Linked DNA regions of Canis lupus familiaris. The protein of the gene in region 1 purifies or fractionates together with the protein of each later gene. This does not show direct contact. Links are inferred from orthologs where the notes say so. Each region holds a gene or a part of one and is shown in the gene's direction. Other genes may lie near its edges. The genes, in order: SS18, DPF2, ARID1A, BCL7C, SMARCD2, ARID1B and SMARCB1.

Evidence for each region.
Region 2: the proteins of SS18 (region 1) and DPF2 purify together in Homo sapiens (affinity purification with mass spectrometry; 4 studies listed by BioGRID and IntAct, counting the BioPlex papers as one, with this or other methods). This does not show direct contact. The link is inferred for Canis lupus familiaris from reciprocal best matches to the Homo sapiens genes SS18 and DPF2.
Region 3: the proteins of SS18 (region 1) and ARID1A purify together in Homo sapiens (affinity purification with mass spectrometry; 7 studies listed by BioGRID and IntAct, counting the BioPlex papers as one, with this or other methods). This does not show direct contact. The link is inferred for Canis lupus familiaris from reciprocal best matches to the Homo sapiens genes SS18 and ARID1A.
Region 4: the proteins of SS18 (region 1) and BCL7C purify together in Homo sapiens (affinity purification with mass spectrometry; 3 studies listed by BioGRID and IntAct, counting the BioPlex papers as one, with this or other methods). This does not show direct contact. The link is inferred for Canis lupus familiaris from reciprocal best matches to the Homo sapiens genes SS18 and BCL7C.
Region 5: the proteins of SS18 (region 1) and SMARCD2 purify together in Homo sapiens (affinity purification with mass spectrometry; 4 studies listed by BioGRID and IntAct, counting the BioPlex papers as one, with this or other methods). This does not show direct contact. The link is inferred for Canis lupus familiaris from reciprocal best matches to the Homo sapiens genes SS18 and SMARCD2.
Region 6: the proteins of SS18 (region 1) and ARID1B purify together in Homo sapiens (affinity purification with mass spectrometry; 4 studies listed by BioGRID and IntAct, counting the BioPlex papers as one, with this or other methods). This does not show direct contact. The link is inferred for Canis lupus familiaris from reciprocal best matches to the Homo sapiens genes SS18 and ARID1B.
Region 7: the proteins of SS18 (region 1) and SMARCB1 purify together in Homo sapiens (affinity purification with mass spectrometry; 9 studies listed by BioGRID and IntAct, counting the BioPlex papers as one, with this or other methods). This does not show direct contact. The link is inferred for Canis lupus familiaris from reciprocal best matches to the Homo sapiens genes SS18 and SMARCB1.

Annotation. Positions count from the first base shown.
Region 1 is NC_049228.1:62,584,523-62,588,022, forward strand, and holds part of SS18 (protein SSXT), read left to right. Parts: intron 1-435; coding exon 436-540; intron 541-3,347; coding exon 3,348-3,440; intron 3,441-3,500. UniProt on the Homo sapiens protein: Appears to function synergistically with RBM14 as a transcriptional coactivator. Isoform 1 and isoform 2 function in nuclear receptor coactivation. Isoform 1 and isoform 2 function in general transcriptional coactivation.
Region 2 is NC_049239.1:52,349,216-52,353,463, reverse strand, and holds the start of DPF2 (zinc finger protein ubi-d4), read left to right. Parts: upstream 1-1,448; 5' UTR 1,449-1,567; coding exon 1,568-1,599; intron 1,600-4,248. UniProt on the Homo sapiens protein: Plays an active role in transcriptional regulation by binding modified histones H3 and H4. Is a negative regulator of myeloid differentiation of hematopoietic progenitor cells. Might also have a role in the development and maturation of lymphoid cells.
Region 3 is NC_049223.1:72,735,666-72,739,165, reverse strand, and holds part of ARID1A (AT-rich interactive domain-containing protein 1A), read left to right. Parts: intron 1-856; coding exon 857-1,064; intron 1,065-2,351; coding exon 2,352-2,484; intron 2,485-2,656; coding exon 2,657-2,832; intron 2,833-3,191; coding exon 3,192-3,342; intron 3,343-3,423; coding exon 3,424-3,500. UniProt on the Homo sapiens protein: Involved in transcriptional activation and repression of select genes by chromatin remodeling (alteration of DNA-nucleosome topology).
Region 4 is NC_049227.1:17,466,859-17,470,866, forward strand, and holds the start of BCL7C (B-cell CLL/lymphoma 7 protein family member C), read left to right. Parts: upstream 1-1,208; 5' UTR 1,209-1,305; coding exon 1,306-1,397; intron 1,398-1,904; coding exon 1,905-1,983; intron 1,984-2,284; coding exon 2,285-2,393; intron 2,394-2,495; coding exon 2,496-2,657; intron 2,658-3,954; exon of another isoform or gene 3,955-4,008. UniProt on the Homo sapiens protein: May play an anti-apoptotic role.
Region 5 is NC_049230.1:15,127,763-15,132,009, forward strand, and holds the start of SMARCD2 (SWI/SNF-related matrix-associated actin-dependent regulator of chromatin subfamily D member 2), read left to right. Parts: upstream 1-1,447; coding exon 1,448-1,663; intron 1,664-4,120; exon of another isoform or gene 4,121-4,247. UniProt on the Homo sapiens protein: Involved in transcriptional activation and repression of select genes by chromatin remodeling (alteration of DNA-nucleosome topology).
Region 6 is NC_049222.1:47,265,147-47,268,646, forward strand, and holds part of ARID1B (AT-rich interactive domain-containing protein 1B), read left to right. Parts: intron 1-2,817; coding exon 2,818-2,956; intron 2,957-3,170; coding exon 3,171-3,343; intron 3,344-3,500. UniProt on the Homo sapiens protein: Involved in transcriptional activation and repression of select genes by chromatin remodeling (alteration of DNA-nucleosome topology).
Region 7 is NC_049247.1:28,793,369-28,796,868, reverse strand, and holds part of SMARCB1 (SWI/SNF-related matrix-associated actin-dependent regulator of chromatin subfamily B member 1), read left to right. Parts: intron 1-3,176; coding exon 3,177-3,367; intron 3,368-3,500.

The DNA of each region.
Region 1 (3,500 bases):
ATCTATTTTTTTCTGGGAAAAAGGTTAATATCCTAAAATTTGATAACAAAAGCTCACTAATACATAGCAGAAGATAATATTTTAGTTTTGAGAAGTTACTGAATATAAGATGAGAAACAAACCCTATTTTGTTCCAAACTACTCTAATACCAGAAAGAAAATTTTCTACTAGTTTGAACCTCTTTTTAAGGAGTTAGTATTTGTTCTTTTAAGTTGATCTTGTTAGATACTGCATGTATGGTCATAACAGTTTTTGTGAAATGTGGTTGTATGATGTTGCTGTGTGTTTGTGTATCTGTGTGTGTAATTAAGAATAGTTAAAAAGTATCTCAAATGCCAGTGCATGGGAGGGGAGTCTACAGGTGAGAAGTAATTTCTCTTAATAACAGATTAGAGAACAAATTATTTACCTCTTGACTGGTTGTGGTTTTTCAGGCCCACCACAGCAGTACTCAGGCCAGGAAGACTATTATGGGGACCAATACAGTCATGGTGGACAAGGTCCTCCAGAAGGCATGAACCAGCAATATTACCCTGATGGTAATCTCTCCTAATGTTAATTTTCCTGTTGTCTATCTGTGCCCAATATTAATGTAGATAGCTGTTCAAGACATTTTAATGAGGATGAAGAAACTCACAATATGTTTCTTCTAAATTTAGAAACACTTTTTAAAGCATCAGTGGTCGCATTAGTTTATAATCCATTTCAAAGTATATTTGGTTTAGATAGTCTGTATTAGTACCATCAGGAATTATTCTGTCACTGGAATCCTTTCTTACATAAAAGAGGATCCTCTTAGTTTGGAATTGTTAATTTGAACCAAAGCAGTTGTTACTGATACACTTTTTTTAAATAAACACTTTATTGAGATAATTCACATACTGTAAAGTTCACCCATTGGTTTACTTTTATGCATGGTATAAATACACAGAAGATCTAGTTCTTGAGTATTTTTCCAAGTTTCATCATTTTTAGTTAACATTGAGTACTTCTCAAAGAACTGTGGTTTGTGTATATTATCATTCGTATCTGAAAAATTTGGAGGTTAAATTATATGATATAGCTGTGTTTAAAGTTGAGAGAATAGGAAAAGCATTTGGAAATCAGATTTTAATTATTTAGTTTAATGAGTTTTGTGGGAAGGTGGTATATGAAAAAGTTGGTCATTAAAGATATATTGCACTTGGAAGTGATGCAAGCATAAATAGGCTTTCACTATACAGTTCTTCCAGTTTTTCTGTGTGTTTGAAAATTTCATGATACTTTGTTGAGGAAAAAATAATCCAAACATATAAAACTGTGATAAATTACAGGTGGCTATTCACATTACAGTATGATTTGTTTTGTTATGAAAGGATTTGTCAAAATCTTCATTTATCCAGTAAGCTCCCTTGGTATATTTAAGGTAAACTACTTAACAGAGAAACTTGGAGAAACAAAAAATTAAAAGCTAAAGTGTTGGGACTATCCTCTCAAAGCTAATGTGAAGTAGTAAGAAGATATAATTTGGTGAATTTAAAAAATATTTTAGCCTGCCATTTTTTGTTAATGTATAAAGGATAAAGGTATATCAGTATAAAGACAGTGGTTTTTTACTGCAGAGACTCTGCCTGTATAGGCAGAGCAAACACTCATCTGTAGAATTTTGTTTATCATAAATGTTTGTTATGATAGTGGTGATATGTATGGATGTTTCTTGTTAAGAAATGATATATTTTTTTAAATCTCAGGTTTTCTTGCCCTGAATTAATTCAGAATTTTGGAGTTTTTTTTCTTTTTTCTTTCATATATAGACATTAAGATTTTTTTTAACGAAAAAATTTAGTATGTTTATAGACTATGGATATTTTAAAGAAGTGAAATCTAGTTTGTCAAATTTTATGTATTAGGAACTCTGAAAGTAAATGATTGTTTTGTTTAATTTTTAAAATACATTTTACATAATTGAGTTGAATTTGACACTGTTTTGGTCTTGAGTATTTTTCTGAAATGTAAAATGTGTATTGTTATAAATACGACCTTTCTATTCAAAATAGATGTTATTTTTGTTAGACATCAAAACTTTAAGGTTATGTAAATTATTTATTACATGAGGGGATTTAAAAATCTATCATTTTTGTATAGGTGTGTATTAATATGTTTTTCTGATATGTATGTAGAATATCCCATGTATAACAATAATTTGCTTAAATAGCCTTGAATATTTTCTTACTATCATTCAGATATTTATGCCAATAAATATATAGATTAGGAGTTGGCAAACTTTTTTCACTAAAGAGCCAGAGAGTAAATATTTTAGTTCTTTGCAGGCCATATCAACTACTGAATCCTTTCTGTAGCATGAAAACAGGTAGAGAAAATGCGAATGGGCATACCTGTGTTCCAGTAAAACTTTATTTACAAAAGCAGGGCCCTGGCCATATTTATGCTGCAGGCCATAGTTTGCCAACCCTTCATGTGGCTATTTATGAGGTGGTTTGGGAACGTTGAAATCCTAGAACACTGAATATAACATTGATTCATAACTGTATTGCTCTTCTTAATTAGGCATTCTTCTAAAATTTAGATTTTAGCTAACTGAAGCATTATTTCCTGCATTTTCTTGGTGTGTAACTTTAGTTAAAAGAAGTAGACTATTGATTTTCATTAAAGTCCAGTCATAAAATTTATTGAGCCTTAAAACTTAAGGTGTACCCTGGCACTAAACACAGTATTAATTTTTTGAAGGTGTGTTTATGGTACTCTAGAAATATTTTCTAAAGGCGTCTAGAATGGCAGCATTAAGCAATATTATTCTTGCATCTGAAAATGCTTTTATAAGATACATATACGTTATGCTAGTAAATAGAATGTGAAAAATTTGTTTCAGTTTCTTTCAGGGGAAAAAAACTTATGGAGCTTTTTTATACTTTGCATTGTTTTAGCATATGCTGTGGAATTGGCGACCAGCAGAACAGGTGTTTGACAAAATATGATAATTGCTTCCTTTGTTCATTCTAATTTAATTCAAGTTATTTACATGTGAAAGGCCTAAATGCTTTCTTTCTCTTTTTTGAAAAAAATTGAAGATGAAGTTTTTTTTCCCCCCCATGTTGAGGATTATCAGTTAAGACTAAGTGTAATGTTTCTAAAACTACTGTTTTTTGCTTTTAAAAAATTTGCACGTTATATCTCAATATGAAAACAATCACATTGGTAAATATTTGGCTAATGCATTTGAAATTATTTTTTATGTATTTCCATTTCTTTTTCTTTTTTTCAATTTTATCTGAAAGTTTAAATATATTTAGGGTTTTCACTCAGTGGCCATTAACGTTTCTTCCTGTCTCTTGTCGAATTGATGTAGGTCATAATGATTACGGTTATCAGCAACCGTCGTATCCTGAACAAGGCTACGATAGGCCTTATGAGGATTCCTCACAACATTACTACGAAGGAGGTATCTATATACCTTCACACACATACACATATATATCCCCTTCTACAGGAATGCAAATTT
Region 2 (4,248 bases), on another chromosome or scaffold:
TGGAATGAGGTATATGGCAAAGACCATGGCCTGAGGACTGTGACATTTACAAGTGGAACAAAGGACAGACTTAACAAAAGAGGTAAAGGAACTTCAGTGTGCTTAGAGCACATCTAAGAGAATGCTGGTCTCAGAGACCCTGAAAAGAGCTTGAAAAAGGAGGGAATGTGGGGGGAATGTGGGTTGAACGCTGGACTCTTGATGTTGGCTTAGGTCATGATCTCAGAGTCATGGGATCAAGCACCCCCACCCCCATCGGGCTCCTTGCTCAGCATATCCCTCTCCCTCTTCTTCTCACCCCCTCCTTTCACACGCTCTCTTTCTTAAATAAATAAATCTTTAAAAAGGAAAAAGGAGGGAATGGTCAGTGGTGTCATGGTGTCTGTGTTTCAACGAACCAGTAGGAACAAAATCATTAAACTGGGCAGAAGGGGCCTTGGAAATAAGTCAGCAGAGATACGGAGTATAAACAGAAACTTTGCCTTGAAAGGATGGAAAAAATGGGACGATAATCCAAGGCCACCATGGGCTGCAGGAAGGGCTCTCTGATTTTTATTTTTTAAATTTGTAATTTTTGTTGTATTATTTATTTATTATTTATTTATTCATGAGAGACACAGAGAGAGGGAGAGAGAGAGAGGCAGAGACACAGGCCGGAGAAGCAGGCTCCATGCAGGGTGCCTGACGTGGGACTCAACCCCGGGTCTCCAGGATCAGGCCCTGGGCTGAAGGCAGCGCTAAACCGCTGAGCCACCGGGGCTGCCCAGGGCTCTGATTTTTATTTTATTTTATTATTTTTATTTTTTTTTATTTTTACAGGGGCTCTGATTTTTAAAGATGTTAAGCCATGTTTGTACACGAATTTGCGATTCAACGGTGAAGGAGAAATGAATGGTACGAAAGATTCAGGGATAATTGCAGGAGGGAAGTTCTTAGAGCCTAATTGGAGGGACAGAAGTAGGAAGCAAGGGAGGTGGGTAGCACTGAAGTTGGTGGCAGGGTTTTGTGGGAGGAAGGGGAGGCAATTTTTGCCAAGACTCCAATACTCATGCCAAAGAACTGCTCAGTTCGGGACGTTAATCTTCCTCTCCCTGAACGGGCACACGACTGGAGGCCCAAGCGGATGGTGCACCGTCTTCTGCTGTCCACCAACAGCCCCCTCCCCGCGCCCGTGAGTGAGGACAAAGGGTTAACCACAAGGTTAAAGGTCGGTGAGGCAGCAGTACGCATAGGCTCCATCTAGCCTAACTCTGGGCCTCCAGTTTTCACCAGCTTCATGTCATCATTTCATCAATCCTCTCCTTTCTGTACCAGCCCAGACGCTCCCTCCCCGGTCCGGTCCTCACGGTGGAAGACCCCGGGCTCCCCGCCCCCGTGCCCGTCGCGCCTGCGCGTTGGGCTCCCTGGGCTCCCCCGCCCCTGTGGACAGTCACGAAGCTGCTCTCGGGCGCGCGTGCTCGGGCGGCGCCTGCGCAGAGGAACGAGGAAACCGGTTCCCCGGTGCGGTCCCTGCGCCTGCGCGCTGAGGGCTCCGGGCCTCCCGGCCTGAGGGAGAGGAGCAGGGAAGATGGCGGCTGTGGTAGAAAATGTAGTGAAGCTGTGAGTAGTGGTTTCTTTCTCTCCTAGGCCAGGAGGTCTTGTAATGGGCCTGGGAGTAGGGGGCGGCGCGGCAGGGGACTAGGCGGAGGGAAGGACGTGCCCGAGAAAGCCTTGTTGCGACTCCTAGTAGGGAGGGCAACAGGAGACTCACAGGAAGACGTTGCGCTTCTTTGGAAACTTGTGGAGGCCCTGAGGGGGGCACACGGGAGCCCCTTACGGGCAGCCTCCCTGCGGGGCTGTGCGGGCTGAGCGCTCCTTCGGGCTCGCGGTGTCCTGAGTATGGCGCCCACGTTGCAGACGAGAAACACGGTCTGAGTGCGCTCCCGAGACCAGACGCCTCGGTGCGGAGGGGCCGGGCCGGGCCGAGGGCGGCCCCGGGACCCACCCGCGTCCCCGCGAAGCCAGGCGCCCCCCCTTCCCGCCCCGCTGCCCGCAGCAGTTCCTGGAGCAACAGGCTCAGCAGCCCTTGCGTGGTTAAGCATGGCGGGGCTGTTTTAACAGCCCTGTGACGTCCGGGGGTGGGGGGTGGGGGTCTTGAGTATCTGATACCCGAGACCAAAAACATTATTGGGAAGAATTTGTTGAGGTGCGGATGCAGCAAGGAAAGAACTTGAGGGCCTTTGCGCCGGCCAGTCCAGCCACCGAAAAACGGGAAGTGGACGGAAGCGGTCCAGGACGCCTCTGCAGCCTAGAGGGGCATCTAGGTCGGCGTGCTGCGCGCTGTGCAGTCAGTCCCCTGCTGCTGGGCAGGCTGCGAGCAAAGTTAAAGTTCATGGTTGTTGGGGAAATGGAGTGTGGTCTGTTGGCCGTGAGTTAAAAATGCTTTGGGACTTGATTTAACCCAGCCTCCTCCCTGAAGAAGATCGAAATGGGTTCGTACCTGGTGGACGAATAGAGCGAACTCTGTTTAATGGGTGAATTGGGCTTGGTGCAGAGGTGGGAAAATTGAGAGGTGACTAGTTGTCCAGGCAGGGCTTGTGGATTTTGACTGGATGACAAGGTAAAGATTTGGAACTATTCTGAGGGACTCAGCTTCTCAGCTGCCTTTGTGGTGGGCTGAGCCCCCACTCTTCCCAAGAGTCTTTATGGAGAGTACGTTGCTTTGCCCACATCCCCCCACCCCCACCCCTCCCCGCCTGGAGCCTTTTCTTTGAGAATGCATTCCCACTTCCATTAAGCTAAGTGCCTTCTTCTCCTCCTGTGGGTTTTTTTTTTTTTTTTTTTTTAACTTGCTTTCAGCTCCATCCTGCGGCCTCTTTTCAGCTACCCCTCCTCCCAACACTATTATCTTTCTCTCTGATCTGCCCACTCCAGTTTCCCCCAGCTCTTTCTTCAGGCTGACATTTCCCTCAATTTAGAAATGTCGCTGTTGATCTACCATTTATATAGTTATCCTTCCTGACTCCTGTTCTTTGTTTCCCTGCGTTTCTCTTTGTTGATTACCCTCCACCCCAATCCCATTGTAAAGGGAGGTTTTACACAGTTTTCATGCTTCCCAGAAAAGAATCAGAGCTCCTACCTTGGAAATTTACTGTACTGGGGGAATGTAAGACTTGCCTAGGTTTTGCGAGTTCACGGGTAATGGGACTTTATGTTGGAAGACTTTCTTCAGGGGAATAGAGTTGTCAACCCTTTCATGTAGTACTAGAAGGGAGGAGTTGCCCATTTCAACAGAGCATGACTTACTTCTATTAAAGGGACTACAGAGATTGTGAGGGGCACCAGCCACTAGTTCCTGAGTACTAGTAACGAGAAACCAACTTTCTCCTCAGTTCTAGCTGCAGAGGACTATGGACCGCAATTAATACATTTCCTTACAAAACTTGCCCTTTGAGAAGGGGTTTCCAGTCTTCCTGTACTATTCTCACCCAGGAGAGAGATACTTTTCTGGAGCTTCTCTTGATCGTGGTATGCTTGTTTTTTGAACAGCTGAGGTTATACATTGAGGTCAGCACTACTAGCTCATCTTCTCTGGCTTGCATCTTGTTCTGAGAGAATTTTCTTATTTATGAATTCTCTCACTCTCTCTTAGTTTCTCCTCATCAGATTCTCTCTCCCCCCCCAACTTAGGCATTTCATTCCCAGTTCTCTTACTCACAAGACAGTTTGAACCACCTTCTGAAATCCCACTTAACTCACAAGTGCTTTGATAGAACATCTCTCATTGTTCCCCAAAAAAAACCAATTCTGGCCTCCATGCTGTGACTTTGCAGCCCTCAGCCTGTCTCTCCGTCCTTCCATTTGACTTCCAGTGTCAGTATCCATTCCCATCAGCAGAAACAAAGGAGCTGCTGCACTCGGCCTGTTTATCCAATTTTCCTCTGTGTGGTGAGGACATGGCTGCCTCCTAAAGGCCAGCTAATGTGAGCCTGTTCCCTTCTCTTCACTCTCCAACACAAAATTCATGCTTACCTCAAATTACAGGCATTACTGCTCATTGAATCAAGCCAGGCATCGCCTTGTGTGTGATGTATGTCTTTTTCAGTTGCTTGGGAACATACTAAGCTGTGCCTAAGTACTATATTGTGACTGCTCTGAGAAGCCCCCCTCGGATTCCAGAGCGTGGTTTGTCGGTGTATCTTGAATTACGGACATAAGCAACAGAGACTCACTCTGCCCAGCTTCTCATGCTAGGGGTCTCCCTCATGT
Region 3 (3,500 bases), on another chromosome or scaffold:
TCACAGGTACCAGGTCAGTAGATACCACAACATACTGAGCTTCCTTTGTGGGTTTAGACTGGAAAGCTGGTGTTCCCAGCCTTTGAGGTGGATGAATAAGCATAAAAATACATGGAAAAGGAGGACCTGCCTGGCTAGAACAGAAAGATCATCTAATTGTAGGGTTTGGGAATGGTCTTGGTCAGTGCATCCTGAAGCTTAGGAATAGAGATTAGTGTAGGCTACTGGGAGGGCACAGAGAAGTTAGAGGGCCTGAAGCATCTCCTGGACAATCAGGACAGTGTCTCGTATAGGAAGGGGGCTTGTAGTTAGTTACATGTCACTGAGAAATAGAGCAGCTGTGGCACAGAATGTAAAATTGGCAAAGAGCCCCACACCAAGAAACAACCCAGATGTGGAAACCTCCAGTTTGACAAAGTAAGTCAAGCAGAGTGGTAGCTGATATTGCCACATCTCTGGAAAAGGTTGATTTTTATTGTTGCCTTTGAAGGGGTTTGCATCTGATGTTGATTTGCACAGCATTTTTCAGAACTATACTTGTAAAGCATCATACCTTCTGAATTCTGTTTTCTCCCACTAATAGTGATCTAAAATTTGTGCTCTTTCAAATAAGCACTGTCTGCTAGCTTGCTAGTTGCGGTGGTCTATGGATAGAACCTGCTGAGGGTAGAGGGGAGCTAGCCTTGGATTTAACGTTTGTTGTGGACTATGCCTCAAGGGGGGTTAACTTTAGTGGTTAATTGAGAACTGCGATTCTATAAAACATGAGTACCTGGTATCCTGGTGGGGGTTTGGGGCTTATTGGCAGGAAGACCAGGTGGAAGATGTACCTCGACTCTTCTGGTTGGTTGTACAGGTCAACAAGAACAAAAAATGGCGGGAACTTGCGACCAACCTCAATGTGGGCACCTCGAGCAGTGCTGCCAGCTCCTTGAAAAAGCAGTACATCCAGTGTCTCTATGCCTTTGAGTGCAAGATTGAACGGGGAGAAGACCCTCCCCCAGACATCTTTGCAGCTTCTGATTCCAAGAAGTCCCAGCCCAAGATCCAGCCTCCCTCTCCTGGTAAGGATCGGGTGAGCCGCCCCACTAAGGCTCACCCTTCGCAAGTAGCATTCAAGGGTCCGGGTTCTTATTCAACAGTGCCTGACTCCAAGGACGTGTGCTTTGCCCAGCACTACCTCAGGGCTTACTATGTTGGCACACTAGGAGCGGGCAGTGGCGACTCCCTTGAGAGGTAGTCTGCAGCAGCCCTTAAGTTTTAATTTTCATTGTGCACCTGGCAACTTGCCAAATGTTTGTAAACTAGTGAGTGGGAGGGACATCAGAGGAGTGGGGAAATCTGACAAATCGCAATGAGGCAGGGCCATCTGGGAGCTTTGGCCCACGGATGTCAGCGCCTTAGAATGCAGCTCAGACTGGAGCCCTAAATTCCCCAGGGAGCTGAGATGCTAATGAATGGGAAGGAGGGAGAGGGGGATATGAATGGAACTCGATGGGAGTGCCTCTGCCCACCCTCCTTTCTGAGAGGAGGCTGGGGCCAGGGCAAGCATGGGGAGGGAGGAAGGCCAGGGCTCCTAGAAGGTGGGTGTAAACACATGTGCCCTGCTATTGACCTCTGAGGATGTAATGAGTGCCTGAGATGACTCATCAGCTGGGGAGGCCTAAGCAGTGGGATATCTGCTGCTGGGAATGGTAACTAATGGAAACATTAATTACTGGTAGTTCTGCTCTCATCAGCTTGGAGGCATATTGGAACCTGAGTGGTGATACAGTGCTAGATACTTGTGAGTAGGAGCTCCTAGGTTCCTCAAGTACACTGCAGGTTTGGGACAAGATGGAGCCTTCCTACTTAGGATTCCAGGGGCTCTTACTGGGAACTTGTGTGCCAGCATTATAGGGTTTAGTAGGTTAGACAGGGGTCCTTGGGGAAATAAAGAAAAAAGTAGTCAGGGAAACTGGCAGGAACTCAACAAAATCACTAGCATGGTGATGCCATCACCACACTACTCCTATTCTCCCAAATGTGAAACAGTAGCAAGGAGCAATAGAAATCTCAGATTCCCCAGAGCACCTGGGTGGCTTAGTCAGTTAAGCATCTGTTCGACTTTTGGTCTCAGTTGAGGTCTTGATCTCAGGGTCATGAGTTCAAGCCCCATGTCAGAAGAAGAACCACCCTCAGATTCTCTTCTTATTACCTGGCCTTACACATCCCTTGCTGAGAAGGGTGATTTAGGCTTTCAAGAACCCCAGCTTTAGCCTTACAACAATCCTTTCCAGAGATGGCAGGGCATTTGTGTATTTCTGTGAGAGTTAAACATTTGCCAGCTCACCCCATATCTCTGTCCACAGCGGGATCTGGGTCTATGCAGGGGCCACAGACACCTCAGTCAACCAGCAGTTCCATGGCAGAAGGAGGAGACCTGAAGCCACCAACTCCAGCATCCACACCACACAGTCAGATCCCCCCCTTGCCAGGCATGAGGTAAGGCCAGGAACAGAGGCAGGTGACTTGGAGGATCTGGGCAGAAGTGCATGAGTTCTTGTGCAGCCCAGGGTGGTCCCTGCTCTGCCTGCTCAGCCAGTGACTCTCATGTGCCCTGCCTACAGGAGGAATTCCTTTATTTGGGGTTTAATTGGCTTTCTTCACTCTGGAGCAGGAGCAATTCGGTTGGGATCCAGGATGCCTTTCCTGATGGAAGTGACCCCACATTCCAGAAGCGGAATTCCATGACTCCAAACCCTGGGTACCAGCCCAGTATGAATACCTCTGACATGATGGGGCGCATGTCCTACGAGCCAAATAAGGATCCTTATGGCAGCATGAGGAAAGGTAACCAGTTGCTGTTAGCCTTGTGCCCTTGAGGACAGGGCCAGGGAAATGGGGAGGATATGTTGAGAGTGATTCAGGGTTCCTGTAAAGCCATTCTCTGAGATAAGGCCTTTCCAGTCCTAACCACCACTCTTAATCCCTACCTCTTGTCTCCCTCTCACTGGCTTCACCTTGCACACCTAAACCAGTACGTGCTCTTTGCTGGTGGTAGTCTCTTTAGATCTCTTTTGAACCTGTTGGGGAAACAGTAGGATCAAACCCGAGCCCTGAAGAGGGCCTGGTGTTCGGGGCAGGCAAGGTGTAGTTTGCTAGGCCTCCTGGCTTACCAGTTTGCTCACTGCCTTCCTTTCTGCGTTCAGCTCCAGGGAGCGATCCCTTCATGTCCTCAGGGCAGGGCCCCAATGGCGGAATGGGAGACCCCTACAGCCGTGCTGCTGGCCCTGGGCTGGGAAATGTGGCAATGGGACCGCGACAGCACTATCCCTATGGAGGTCCTTATGACAGAGTGAGGTGAGCATGGCCCCTGCACGTGTCCCACCCCAGCACCCCACAGCAAGAGTGAACTCAATCCACTTCTCCATTTGTGTTTAGGACGGAGCCTGGAATAGGACCCGAGGGAAACATGGGCACTGGAGCTCCACAGCCGAATCTCATGCCTTCCAACCCAG
Region 4 (4,008 bases), on another chromosome or scaffold:
TAAATGTACTGGTGGTGGTGGGGGGATCAGCACCAGATTCAGATTAAGAAACTGAATGTGACCAGTCCAAGAGCTCCCTTTTGGCCTCTCCCAAGAGTGACCACTATCCTGAGTTCTCACACCACAAATTAGTTTTGTTTTGAATTTCATATAAAAGGAATCATATAATGCGTACTGTTGTATCTGATTTCTTTCATGAGACTTGTCCCTGTTGTCTGTGTAGCAGGATATCACTCTCTGCTGTGTCCACTGTGTGAACAGGCTACAATTCATTTTCCACTCTACTCCTGATGGGCTGTTTCCAATTTGAGGCCGTGCTCTACGGTGCTATGAAGATTCCAGTACACATCACTTGGTGCTCACACCTACGCATTTCTCTCAGCTTCTCTAGAAAACTGCCAGTTTGGGTGGCCCCGGTGGTGCAGCTGTTTAGCGCCGCCTGCAGTCTAGGGCGTGATCCTGAAGACCCTAGATCGAGTCCCACGTCAGGCTCTCTGCATGGTGCCTGCTTGTCTCTCTGCCCCTCTCTCTTTCTCTCTGTGTCTCTGTGAATGAATAAATAAATAATTAAAAAAAAAAACCTGCCCGTTTTCCAAAGCATCTCTATCCATTTTCACTACCCCAGGAACATGAGAGGTCTGGTTGCTCTACTCCTTTGTCTACACTTGATATGGTCTGTCGTTCTCATTTTAGCCATTCTGGTGGGTGGAGACCTACTCATATTTGCAGCATCTGGCCAGAAATGGGCACTCTGAATAGACTGCTGAATGAATGGCTGAGGAAGAGCTGGACAGGGCGGGAGCGACAGCCAGGGGAGGCTGGACACACGCTCTGCACGCAGCACGAGGGCCACCCCCGCGCCACAGACGCTCGCCGTGAGAGTGACCCTCTCGCGCCCCCTCCTCCTCCCCGCGCCCACGTGGTCTGAACGCACCTCCCCGGCCCGGCGGCGCGCGCCCTGGCGCCAAGCTGTCCCCAACCCTCCCTCTTGGCGGCGGGTAGGGGGCGCTGCGCGTCGGGGCGCCCCGAGGGGGCGGGCCCGGTCGGGGCGGGGCCGGCCGGCTTCCAGGCCTGGGCTTTGGCCGCCCGCACCGCCGGGCCGCTCCGGGGACGGGCCGGGGCGGGGCGCGGCAGCAGGAAACGGGGCGGGGACTCGCGGAGGCGTTGGGGAGCGAGGGAGGGCGCGGCCAACTCCCGGAGGGACGGCAGGCCGAGAGAGCGGCGCCCGGGTCTGGCCCGAGCCTGAGCCCGCCGGACGGGAGGCGGCCCAGCCGCGGGCTCGGCCTCGGCCCCAGTCCCGCCAGCATGGCCGGCCGGACCGTGCGGGCCGAGACCCGGAGCCGGGCCAAAGATGACATCAAGAAGGTGATGGCGACCATCGAGAAGGTCCGGAGATGGTGAGCGCTGCCCGGGGGCCAGGGATGGGACCCGGCGGGACCACTCCTCCCCCAAATGCGTCTAACCTCCCCTTCGCCGGCCGTGGCCGCAGGGTGTTAGGTGTGCCCCCCGGAGCTACAGGGCTCTGTCCCCCTTCTGGCTACACCCTAGGGTCTACAAAGCGTGTTCCCAAGCCGTACCCTCATTTATGCCCCGCCCCCTTAAGCTTTGACACTCCTCCCTCAAGTATGTCCAGGATCTTCATTGCTATGGTCCCCAGCCAGGCCCTCAGCCTTGCTCCCTTGTATACCCCAGGGGTCTGCAGAGCCATGGCCCCAAACCGTGCTCTCTCCTTAGAGGCACCCCTGTTTATGGCCTGGGGTCTGCAGGACTCTCTTTCTCCTTCTAACCATATGCCCCATTAGCGAAACCGCAGCACCCCCAAGTCTACAGGTCTCCCCAGATGTGTTCAGCTCCTGGGGGGGGCTCTCTCCTCAGAATTCTGACCCAGTCCCCCCCTCCCACAGGGAGAAGCGCTGGGTGACTGTGGGCGACACTTCCCTTCGTATCTTCAAGTGGGTGCCAGTGGTGGACCCCCAGGAGGAGGTGAGCAAACTCCCCCACTGTGCACCCTCAGGCAAGCCCCTTCCAATCCCAGCCTCCACCTCCAGTCCTGCTCTGAGACCTCAAATGCAGCAGCCAAGACAGATGTTAACAATTATTAGCAACTCCACCCCCTTCTCCCTTTTTCCTGCTTCAGACCCCTGAGTTCAAGCCCTAATCCACTGTGCCAGCCTCCTGTAGGGCCTTTTGCTGCTCTGTGCCTCAGTCTCCTTATTTGGACAGTGGGGGCTTTGCAAGCACTAACTGGAAAGCCGGAGCTGACCCTTATCCCTCTAACCCCCAGGAACGACGGAGGGCAGGTGGCGGGACAGAGAGATCCCGAGGCCGGGAGCGGCGGGGCAGGGGCACCAGTCCCCGAGGGGGTGGTCCCCTCATCCTGCTGGATCTCAATGGTATGTAGGGATCCTGGGATTTGGGGGGGTGTTGTGGGATGGGGAATTGAGGGAGCAGATTGGGGCTCTCAGGCCCAATGCTCTCGGCTTTTGCTCCCACAGATGAAAACAGTAACCAGAGTTTCCATTCGGAAGGCTCCCTGCAAAAGGGCACCGAGCCCAGCCCTGGGGGTACCCCCCAGCCCAGCCGCCCTGTGTCACCTGCTGGACCACCAGAAGGGGTCCCAGAGGATGCTCAGCCCCCACGGCTGGGCCAAGAGAGAGGTAGGACCAGGTGCCTCCCTGCAGCCCTCTCTTCTGAGTTGGCTGGTGGCTGAGTTGGAGCCATCAGCTTACCCCTACCTACACCTGCTCCCCTCCTTGTTATCCCCTTCCAGAGGCCTTCCCTGACTCCTGCAGAAAGTCACCATCCTACCTCCAGTAGCTAACTGTCTCATTCATCCGGCTTCTTTGGGTCTTTTTTTTTTTTCCCTTTGGGTCTTTATGTAATTAATCACTGTCTGAGATTTTCATGTAAATTTTATTTTTTACTACTCAAATTTCTTCCCCCACTCCCACCTCATGTTGGCTTCCTGAACTTTGGGCCCATGTTGCTCCTGTCCATTACTAGATCCTCAGAACAATGTGGGACACATAGAATGTACTCAATAAATATTTGTTAAGGAATGAATAATAGTGATATTCCTGAGGGTGATTAATAAGTGATAATGATAGCTAAGACTTATTGAGCTCTGTGTGCCAGATACCATTCTAAGCACTGAACATGTTTGATTTCATTTAATCCTCACTATAACCCTATGAAAGTTATAATCCCCACATGTGGATGAGAAGCTGAAACCCAGAGAAGTCTCCTAAGCTCACATGGCCAATGAGCCAGCATCTTGGGCATAATTTTGCCTTAGCTCCTCTTTCTTCCATATAGTCAATCCCCTGTCTGGTCGGAACCACCTTGCAAATGTGTCTCCCTTCCTATAAGAGCCATCTCTTACCTGTGCCTGGCTCCAGCCTCCTTGTGGGTCTCCTCTTCCCTAGTCACCTCTACACAGCTGCCAGAGCAACTTTTTCTAAAGCATAGATATGGCAGGCTCATTTTCCTGCTTCAAAGCCTTCAATGGCTCCTATGGCCTTTGACTCCTCCACTTGGCACTCACGGCCCTTCGTGAACTATCCCTGTTGGTCTCATTGTTCCTTTCCAGGAATACCATGACTTGGGCCTATGGGCCTATGGGCTGTGTCTAGATTGTACCGTGCACTTGGGTACCTTTACTAATACAAAAACAACAGGCATTTATTGAGCGCTTTCTATGTGCTAGACACTGTACTGAGGGCTTTACCTGTATTATCTCATTGCATCCTCACAACAGTCTCATGTGGTAATTACTATCATTATCCCCACTTTGCAGGTGGGGAAACTAAGTCCAGAGGAATTAAGTCACTTGCCCAAGGTCAGGATTTGAACCGGAGGAATCCAACCTCAGAATCTGTCCTCACAAACATATAGTCTGTCTGCCTAAAATGTGCTCCATCTCCACATTTGTCTACCCGATCAGATCCTACTCACCCATCAAGATCCCACTTAAATGTCCTTGCTGTGTCTTCCTCTGGCCAATAGCAA
Region 5 (4,247 bases), on another chromosome or scaffold:
TTAATTTAAATAAATAAATAAAAGAAATGCAGAAGCTTGAGCCTTACCCCAAACCCCAGGCATACTGAATCATAATCTGCATTTTAAACCAAAGCCCCAGATGTTTCTTTCTTTTTTTTTTTTTTTTTTTTAAGATTTTATTTATTCATGAGAGAGAGAAAGAGACAGAGACACAGGCAGAGGGAGAAGCAGGCTCCATGCAGGGAGCCCGAATGGGACTCGATCCCAGAACTCCAGGATCATGCCCTGGGCTGAAGGCAGCGCTAAACCACTGAGCCACCCGGGCTGCCCAAAAGCCCCAGATGTTTCTTGTGCTTATTAAAGTTTAAGAAGCACTGGCCTGTATCAGGGGGAGGAAACCCCAGATGACCAGCATGTAGGCTAACACAGCTGAAGGGCTTTATTTTGAATACCTTATGACACAGGATAGTGGTTTCTGAAAAGGTATTGAATTTTTTTTCCAATTAAGTACTATAAATCCTGGAGAAAGACCTTATTTAACTGCAGGGAGTTTTCTCACAAGGCAAAATTCCTCCCCCTAGAAACATTTCCTGTGGAGTAAAGTACTAGGCTTCCTTAAAGTGAGGCAGAGCCACGTTAAAAATATGCGATAAGAGCTCGGCGCAGGGCCAAGTCAGCCCGTCACACAGCTGGACTGGGTCTGGGGCAGCTGACGTCCCTTGGCAGCTCTGAGCCAGCAGGATGGGCTATTAAACAAAGTGAAGCTGGTGGCTCTTCTGCCTCAGGAAACAGCTCTAAGCTGAATTTTTACTGCCTAAAACATAGAAAAGCGACTTAAGTCAACTATTTTCAGGGAGTGTAACTGGGAACCTCGGGGGGCGGGCTCCACGGGGCAGAGATCAGCAACTCCCCACGCATTCTCTGTTGAAGCCCTTAGGTGACCTTCAACCTCTGACCCCGCGCCTTGCACAGCGCTTCCTGCGCAGCTTTCCGCCTCCGCCCCTCCGGTCAAGGGCGGGCCTGAGGCGTGGGGGCGTGGCTGGGGGGGGCGGCTGGCGGTTAGGGGCGGTGCTTGCTGGGGGCGGGTCTCGCGAGGGGCGGGATTTGAGCGGCACCGTGGCATTGGACTGCAGGTTCTAGGCGGGGCCTAGCGCCGGGCTTGTTTGGGCGGGGCTGGGAGTTAGTTGCCGCCTCCGGGTAACTGGACTCCGGCGGCCAAACCTCCGGAGGCCGCGAGCGTCAGGCGGGCGTGCAGCAGATCCCGGATCCGGAATTGCCCGGGCAGGACCGGAATCAGGATCGGCCCTGCCCCAAACCGGGTCTGCGAGGAGGAACTTGAGAACTTGGATTGGGAAATCCCGGAACCCGGATCAACAAGCCCCAGAACCCGGAATTTAGATCGGGAAGTCCCGGAGCACGGATCGCGGAGCGGACTCGACACGGAGCCCGGAGCCCGGATCGCGACACCGCCGGACGGGACGGAGCGATGTCGGGCCGTGGCGCGGGCGGGTTCCCGCTGCCTCCGCTGAGTCCTGGTGGCGGCGCCGTTGCCGCGGCCCTGGGAGCGCCGCCTCCGCCCGCGGGACCCGGCATGCTGCCGGGACCGGCGCTCAGGGGGCCAGGGCCGGCTGGCGGCGTGGGGGGCCCCGGGGCCGCCGCCTTCCGCCCCATGGGCCCCGCGGGCCCCGCGGCGCAGTACCAGGTGAGCAGCGCGGCCGGGCGGGCGGGTGGCGCCGCGAGGTCGCCCGGGGCGATGGGGCGATGGGGGCTGGAGTCGGGGCCGCGGGGCAGCCCCCGGGCGGGGCACGGGGGCCCGGCGTGCGGAGTGCGCGGGACGGGGTGCAGGGCAAGGCCGGGCGGCGGGGCAGCTCGGGGAGAGGGTCAGAGCGAGCCTGGGCTGGAGGGTTGGGGGCGGTTGGGAGGGTCTGGAGGTTTTCTTGGAACGGGGATTCTGAGTGAGAGGTGGAGGAACCGGAGCCCGGGAGCTGTGGGCGAGCGGACCGAGAAGTCTAGTGTAGGTCCTAGGGAAGGGGGCTCGGGGAAGTGCTGGGAAAGTTTTGCAAAAGGGCCCTCACGGAGAAACCAGGGTTACCCTGCCTTGGCCTTGGTCCCACTCCAAGTCTGCGCTGGGCTTTTTTTTTTTTTTTTTTTTCTTCTAGTTGGGAACTGGCAGAGTTCTAGCGTGTCTGAGATGGCTCCCAGCTGCTGATGGGGAGGAAGAAGGGCCTGGCTCCCCGCGGCCCGGGAGGTGGAGAACGGAGCAAGGGGACCCCAGCCTGTGCCGGGCAGGGTCTGCTCCAGGTCAGGCCCAGGAGCCCTCCCGTGGGGTGGCTCCGGGTTCGACCAGAGCTGGTGGTGGCCAGGCCTGAGGCAGGCGGAAAGCCCAGCCCGTTCTGGGCCGACTCTCCTTTTGGCTTTCTGCCTGGTGTCCTAGTGTCCAGGAGTTGGTTAGTGTGCAGGAGCAGAGAGGCTCCACTGAGCCCTGCTGGTCTGGGGCTGGAGGAGCCTGTCTGTGAGAGTTGCTTCAAAGAGTTCTGTCCTGACCCCTTTGGAGTTTGGCTTCCAAGAGAGCGCGTCTCAGGTTGCAGCTTCAAAGGCCGAGGAGAGGTAGAGACTCCATCCTTAGGGCCTGACCCTGCTGGTGGGGCTCATCAGTACCCCCCTCTCCAGTCCATTGTTTCTGGTTGCCCCAGAATGCTTGGGAATTGTGCCCATCCTTTTTTGCACTCTCTCTGCACTCTTATTTAGCCTTTAGGTTCTAGCAATGTCATATCCCAACCAACCCGTGTGCCCCAGCGTTTGGCACTGGCTTCTTTGCTAATCTCCCAAGGAAGCTGGGGTTGACTCTCTGGTCTCCAGGTAGAGGCTCCACAAATGGATCCTCATAGGATAGGATATGCTTATCTCCCTCGCCGCCCCCCTCAGAGCCCTGGGCCCTTACTTTCTAAAGAGACGCCTAACTGGGGACCCTGATTTTTCCCACTTACTCTTCATCCCCCCTCCTCTCTGTAAAGAAAACAAAATATCTGGGTACTGACAGAGATAATGCCAGTGACTCCCATCTTTCCCATCTTGCTTTCCCACTTGGGGATTCATGGGTCCAAGCTGATGCTGAGGGGTCTCGACATGAGTCATTACAGCCCCTGGGCCGGCTAGCTGAGCACAGGCCTTGGAGTCTCTCTGGGCCTTTGGTCTAAGAAGAGATAGGAGCCTCTCCAGTTGCCTTTGTTCAAAAGCTGTGAGCAGTGTGGCCTGGGGAAAGCCCTTGGATAATGGGTTCCACAGCCCTATGTAGGGAGTGGCCTTGGGCCAGTGGCAAGGTCCAGCTGACTGGCTGGGGAGCCCCAGGCTGCTAGGGTTGGGGACCAAAGGGTAGGCACTGAGCTTCTGCTTCTGCAAGCTTCCTGTCCCACCAGCTTTTCATAACCTCTTCCTCCTCCTCCAGGAAGGGACAGTAGAGGATCCAAGGGGAGAGGGAAGACCCAGTTCACCCTGGCTAAGTTCGAGTAAGATTCTGCTTGGCCTCTTTCTAAGTCCAGTTGTGTGACTTCCAGGAGATGGGACTTCAGAGGAGCAAAGGGGGTCCTGTCTGTTAGGGTACATGAAGTGAGCTAGAAGAGCAAGGCTTTCCAGGCCAAGTGGGGTAAGTTAGGGAACCTATGGAAAGAGGGGAAGTGATGACCCACCTCCCTCCACACAGTGGATCTAGCTGTGGATCATACTCGACAGAAGAGCTTAAGGAAAACAAGAAATGGGGCAGTTTGGGTGGCTCAGTGGTTTAGTGCCGCCTTCAGCCCAGTGCCTGATCCTGGGGACCCAAGATCGAGTCCCATGTCGGGCTCCCGGCAAGGAGCCTGCTTCTCCCTCTGCCTGTGTCTCTGCCTCTCATGAATAAATAAATAAAATCTTAAAAAAAAAAAAAAAAAAAAAAAGAAAGACAAAACAAAACCCAAAGAAACCCAGATTGTTGGGTTCACTCCAGAGTTCAAAATATTTTCTGCTTATGGAGGGGTATGTTCCCTTCTCTTAGGCCTGGGCCACCAGGGGCGCCAGGGCCACAGGCTTTGAGGCAGGGTGCTGCGTGCTCTCTGGAGGTGCAGCATTAGGCCCAGCCACGTGCCCTGCTGTCCTGGGCAGTGGAGGTAGAGTCACACTTAGGACATGGGCTGCTGCCGGGCAAGGGAGAGGACATTGTCACACACTTCCTAGCTTGAGCTTTACTGCAGGCAGGGACTTACAGAGCCTTGAGTGGCCTGACTGGGATTTGTTTTGGGGTGTTTTGTTTT
Region 6 (3,500 bases), on another chromosome or scaffold:
GTTCTTAGAGTCCATTCTCCCCCTAAGAAGGTAATTATAGTGTATTTCTTATCAACACATCCAAACTAAAAAGATTCCTAAGAAAAGTACTAGATTGCTTTCTAAATGGCCACTCTGAAGCCACCTGAATTCCCAGCTCATTTGGCTACACTAGCGTTGTGTGTCATCCATCTGTATTCCGGTTTCGATCTGGTGTGGCCAGTGTGGACTGAACTTCCTTTCCGCCAGCCTCTGGGAGGTAGAACCCCTCGGCCCGTGATCTTCACCGTAGGGACTGTGTGGTTTCTCAAGCCAGAGCTCCATGTTACTGTCTTCCAGTGACTTGGGCGAGTCCATTGAGGGAAGCTCCCAGATGAAACGTGGGCAAGGCCTGGGGTACAGTTGCATTTCTGAGGTGCCAGTGGGGATCTCGTTATAATAAGCCTGTAAAAGTTCATGGAGTTCTAATGAACAGCTGCAGAAATCACCTCCCCAAGTGGCCTAGGAGGCCTGGAAGCTGGGGTGGGGTGGGGGCGGGGTAAAGGGGGGCCGAGGAAGCTCCACATTCAATTAGTAAGTCTGTAACCAAAAACCCATCCATCTTTGCTGGCAGGTGGCTGACTGCATTTCTATTATTAGCTGACAGGTGATGTCACAAAACCTGTCATGGATCCAACTAGGGAATCCTCAGTGGAAGATAAATGAGAAAGAGGTTCAGGTTATAAACAAAGGTGCCCTCTGGGTGACCTCCAGTCACTGTAGACCTGGGACATATCAGCTCTCCTTCCTTCTCCCTGCCCTCCTTCCCGAAACCCCAGCCAGAACTAGGGCACCAGGTTCGTGCTGTGTAAATTATCTTCCCAGCTAGGAGTCTGGCTGTACAGTCTGAAGTGTGTGAATGTACTTAACCTTCAATAACCTTTCCATTGTTTACTTTCGAGTATACATTTGTAGCTTCTGGCAAAAGGTAGGGAGAGCCTACAGAGTGTGCCAGCCTCGTCTATTAATGGAGCTTCAAGAGGTTGTGTTCATTTTTTTTTTCCTGAAAGGAGAGGAAAAAATACTGGCAGAGGGAAGAATTTTTCCTTTTTTTTTTTTTTTTTTTTATTAGCTGTAAATGTGAATACTTGTAAATAAGGGTCATTCTGAAATCACAGCCTGTGAACCATGTTTCCAGGGAAGCCGCACAGGCTGCTGTGGAGTGTGGTCTGTGATTTAAGGAGCACGTTATTTCTCCTGCCAGCTCTGTGGGGCAGTCACATTTGTAGGTTTATCCTTACATATTTATAGAAGACTCCACTTTTTTTTCTCTTATTACGATCTATTTATTTGATATGTAGGGTTTCACCAAAATCTGATTTATAAGCATGTGTTACTAAGCTTTTCTTTGGCGATATCTACATTAAAAAGATGATCTACTTTTCAAGCTAGTCTTCCCGGCATCTCTGAGAGCTGCCCTGAGTCACTCTAGTCCCGGGCACCCAGCGTACACCTTACACAGGAGGCAGGGCCCTGGTGGCCAGGGCTCAAGATTCACTCCCAAGCAGGCCAGGCCCAGGGCTGACCTGATCTCACTGGAGACCTCTGTGTTCCGCTGAGGCTTTCTGACTGGAAGAGCTGGACTAATTTCCACCTCGGGCTCCTTCCCAGCACGCTCTGTAATCTCCAGTGATTTGTTGAACCCCATTTCCTCTACAGTTAAATGTGGCTACTGGTAATTGTAGTGAGTGTCGGACACTCCTAGGAAAGGGACTCCAGATAATAACATATACAGTATCATCTTTGACAAGCAGCCAGTAATTTCTGCCATTTGTAACAGTTCTGAAAGCATTTATTATAAACTGCATGAGGGCAGGAATTTTTGTCCTTTTTGTCAGTTTGGGACACTGGTGCATCCAGGAATAGAAAAAAAGCAATATAGTAAGCAATGTAGTAAGCATGTTATTTATTCAATAAGTATTTGTTGAATTAATAAATGTAGGTAGTGTCTTTCGGGCACCTCACATGCAAAGGTCAGTGATAAAGCGGGAACCCTTAAAATACTATGTTTTCCAATGAGGTGAGTACTTAAGTTTTTAAAAAGATTTGCTCAATACTGAGCTCTGTTATTATAGTGTAATTATAGTTAAAGCCAAATCTCAGGACTCTGATGATGACATTAAAGAACTCCAAAGAGCATGACTTTGGTTTTGTAATAACAAATCTGATTCCAGAGCTCTAAAAATGACTTTATTAATGACATAGCACAGACATTGAGGAGGCATTGAAGTGATATAAGGCTCATTAAAAATTTGTATCATTGCATTTCAACTTAAACATTTCTCATTGCCTAAGACCTGGTAGTAATTTTTCTAACTTTTTTCCTAAAATAGCACAATAGTCCATCAAATCAGTATACCGAATTTTTCATCCCATTTTTTTTCCTTACTCTCAGACATTTAGATTATCTCCATTATAAACAACACTGAAATAAACATTTTTTTCTGCCTAAAGCCTTCTTTTATATTAGATTATTTTCTTGAGATAAATACCCAGGAAAGCAATTACCCAGTCAAGAGGTATAAATATGTTTTATGGCTCACAAATGAAGTATGTTGCCAAATAGATTACTAAAAACAAAACAAAACAAACAACTTTTACTAATTTTCACTATAAACAATATAAAAGCAACTAATTTTACTGTGTCGTTACCAGTAATGGATATTGTTACTATTTCTAATTCTAATAAGATGGTGTCGTGTTGTCTTTCCTTTTTTTTTTTAAATTAGTAGGAAGGATGAGCTTACTTGATAACTTCTTTTTTTTTTTCTTATTTTCTCTTGGTACTACTACTGTCAGCTAACTCAGGATCCTTGCAAGGTCCACAGACCCCCCAGTCAACTGGCAGTAACTCAATGGCAGAGGTTCCAGGTGACCTGAAGCCACCGACCCCAGCCTCCACCCCTCACGGACAGATGACCCCGATGCAAGGTGGAAGGTATGCAAAAGGATCTCTGTGAGCCACATGACATCAGATTTGTCTGTAAAGAAGAAGTGTGTGTCCTTAATGTTGAATACTACTAGTTTTATTCATGTAATTTTAGGGGATGGTTTTTACATTAAACATTTTCAAGTTAGGCCTATTTTCTGAACAAGCATTTGGAGGCATCTCCTGCTATTTCACGAAGCTTTCATTTTTCTTGTCTCCTTAGAAGCAGTACAGTCAGTGTGCACGACCCATTCTCAGATGCCAGTGATTCATCATTCCCAAAACGGAACTCCATGACTCCAAGCACCCCATACCAGCAGGGCATGAGCATGCCTGATGTGATGGGAAGGATGCCCTATGAACCCAACAAAGACCCCTTTGGTGGAATGAGAAAAGGTAAGTGCAGGGAGACCTTTGCTCAGGCTTGGTCCAGAGGGCATTCTTCCCTCTGCCATCCCACAACCAATTCACTTACCCATTCGAGACATATCTGAGTCCCAGCTCTTCAACCTACTAAATTCCCAGCCTTGGGGAAAGTTCGCAGTAGCTCCAT
Region 7 (3,500 bases), on another chromosome or scaffold:
TTGTTAAATTTTTTATTTTATTATTATTATTTTTTAAAGATTTTATTTATTTTTATAATTTTTTTTTTTTTACGATTTTATGTATTTATTCATGAGAAACAGAGAGAGAGAGAGGCAGAGACACAAGCAGAGGGAGAAGCAGGCTCCATGCAGGGAGCCCAACATGGGACTCGATCCCGGATCTCCAGGATCATGCCCTGGGCTGAAGGCAGCGCTAAACCGCTGAGCCACCCAGGCTGCCCTTATTATTATTTCTTTTAACGTGGATCTTGAACTTGTGACCCAAGATCAAGAGTTACATGCTCTCTATGGGATGCCTGGGTGGCTCAGTGGTTGAACCTCTGCCTTTGGCTCAGGGTGTGATCCCGGAGTTCCAGGACTGAGTTCCAATTCGGGTCCCCTGCATGGAGCCTGCTTCTCCCTCTGCCTGTGTCTCTCTCTCTGTGTCTCCCATAAATAAATAAATAAAATCTTAAAAAAAAAAAAGTTGCATGCTCTCCTGACTGAGCCAGCCAGGTGCCCCAGTGGTTATTTCTTTTGAGAGAATCTGTTTTTCTTAACCCATTTTAGTTTCATATTCTGGCCAACCAGCAGACAAAGGGTATGACTGAGAAAGAAGGGGAACTTCATAGGAAAGAAAAGGGGCAGTGGGACCCTCACCTGCATTCTCACGTGTAGCCTGTCACCTCTGAAGGATTGCCCCGAGGACTCGGTTCTCTGCCTTGTCTTTGTCCTGTAACTGCGGCCTCACGGATCAGCTGCCCCCAACAACATGCTTCCAAATGGGTGGGCTTGGCCATGACCAGGGTCCTGCTGAGTCTAACCAGCTGGCTTCCTGATACTTTTTTCAGAATTTTTTTTTTGGTTTTGTTTTTGTTTTAAGTCCTGATAGGGCTTGTGGGCTTGTGCGTTTCCTGCCCGGCTCTAACGCGAGGGCTTCATGGCACTAAGGCTGGACACGGCCCAGAGAAGCTCTGCTGCTGTGTTTATCAGGTCAGAGCCCTCATGGGCTTATGGCCGCGGGGACAGTGCCCACCTTGTAGGCACTGGAAACTGAAGGTCACACCAAGGTTTGGGTCAAGGGAACTCAAGGAGAGCTGGGTCCTTCCTTGAGGATATTCTTTGTTCTCTGGCTCCTGGGACATAGTGGAGGACAGGGATCTTTGCTGTGGTGGCACCTGAGGAGTGTCTTCACAAAGTGGTGCCTTAGCATGGAACAACCACTTAAAACAGATTTTTTTGGGGGGACTCTGGGACCATAGCCCAGACCTGGCTGCCTTTACCAGGGCACTTAGCACTGGTTGGCTGTGTTTCGTTTCAGGGGCTTGGGGGGTTCAGTGCTTCTCACAAGTCAAGCAATCAGGCTCTTCATAGCTGACCGGGCCCTGCCTGTGCAGGTGTATGTGGTGATAAGGGGTGGTAGTTGAGGAGGGGGTGGAGTCTGGCCCCAGTGCAGTACACCCCCTCAGGGGTCCTGGCCCTGCCCCATCTCTGGGCCCACTCAGAGTCCAGCTCCTCAGCGCCCCCCGAATCCCCACTGTTTCTTGGCTCCCTCCAGCAGAGGTCTCAGTGGCAGCTAGTGTCTCTTCTCTGCTCAGAACACTCCACAGACCTCCCAGATCCCTTTGTGGAAATTGGAGCCCTTAGGACAGCCTCAGGCCTAACTCTGCCCAGGACCCTTCTCTCTAAGGAGCTGCATGTCCTGCTGTCTGCCCATTTTGTTCTTCCTAAAATGCTGTCTCCCTGAGGAGGCAATCTTGGGCCTCCTGGCTAACATGGCCTCCTGTGTGCTTTCCAGCTGTCCCCTCATTTTCCCTTTAGGCCCTGGCCACATAGGCCATGTACCTCCCATTCACATATTTGACATGCTTGGGTGTCTCTCCCCCAACTGGAATGTCAACCCACGAAGATGGCTTTTTGTCGGAGAGACTCACGTTGTGTTCCCTGTGCCTCTCTTGATAGGCCCACACTCTGTAATTTTTAATAGATGCAAGCATTCTTGACCCAATTAATGGAGGGGACAGACAGCCCAGGCCACATGGCGCCGCCTGGTGGCGGAGAGGACTGCTGCTCTTGTACCCGGGGCAGGGCTTGCTGGGGCTGGCTGTGAACAACTATACTTGTCGGTCCTGTTGGGTCCCGCTTGATGTTTTTCTGTGGGCTGCCTGCTGCTTGACATCTCCTTGGTCCCAGCATGCCCTCAGGGCTCATGAGCCTTGGTTTCCTGCAAGAAGGGGCAGCTCTTCCGTTCTGCAAACTGTCATTGGTCACCCAGTGTGAGCAGAACACGGAAATGGGAAAGGACAGGGGCCTCATTTACAGCGAGTGAAAAGTGGTGTGTAGGGTCCAGAGGTTCAGAGCTTCATGAACGGGGACAGGGAGTGAGATCCCACGCTTTCCTGAAGGCAGCGGGAAGGATCCACCCTGCATGGAGTGGGCCCTGAGCAGTGGCCACCTTGAGCATTGTCTTCAAAACCTGAGCACACAGCAATAGTAGGTGAAAGGGCCGGTGCACTGTGGCCTGTTCACTTGGGGAGCAGTGAGGGGTGGTCCCAGCCTTGTAGCCATTGGCGGAGCCTCGTGGACACAGTGCCCGGTGAACACAGCCAGACAGACCCTGGAGTGTCCTTCCTGTGTGACTCATTGACGCCCAGTTGCAGAGCAGTCCTGCTCATCTGCTGGATGAGGAGTAAAGATGGTGGTTCTGAATGCAGGTGTCATGGGGAGCTCCTGGGGCGCAGGCTATGTTCCATTGTGGTCTGGGTGCTGCACAGGCAAGGCCTGGACTGGCTGCAGGTTGCACGTCAGCAGAATGTCTGCTGGAAGTGTGGTAGGCGGGCCGGCCGTGGGCCTCTGCTGCCCACCCAGGCTTCACCTGCACCCTTGTGGGCTATTCACGTGGGACAATCACACCTACTAGGAAGATAGGTGACTGTGCCAGGTCTTAAGCCAGAGCCTGTTGTGGCAATCCCAGCAGGCGTTGGTGTCATCTGTTGTTCTGGATGGGGACCTGTGGCCAGAAGGACGAAAGGTAGCCCCGGTCTCAGCTAGTGAGTGGTGGGCAGGGTCCAGGCTGGCCTGGCAGCTCCCCCGCTGGACTGTCTCGCCTCCCGGAGGCCTCCGAGGTTGGCATGGTTCTGTCCCTTCTCACTTGTGTTCTTCGGTTCTTGCCCCAGCTGAACATCCACGTGGGGAACATTTCGCTGGTGGACCAGTTTGAGTGGGACATGTCAGAGAAGGAGAACTCACCCGAGAAATTTGCCCTGAAGCTGTGCTCAGAGCTGGGGCTGGGTGGGGAGTTCGTCACCACCATTGCATACAGCATCCGGGGCCAGCTGAGCTGGCATCAGAAGACCTACGCCTTCAGGTAGGAGACCAGCTGAGCCCCTCCCTCGTTCTTCTCTAATCCCATTTTGGGGAAAAGACAGCTCCCTGTGCGTGGTGATGCCTTTGGTCTCTTTGGAGCCTCGGCCAGCTCAGCGGCCCTTTGTGGGCTCACT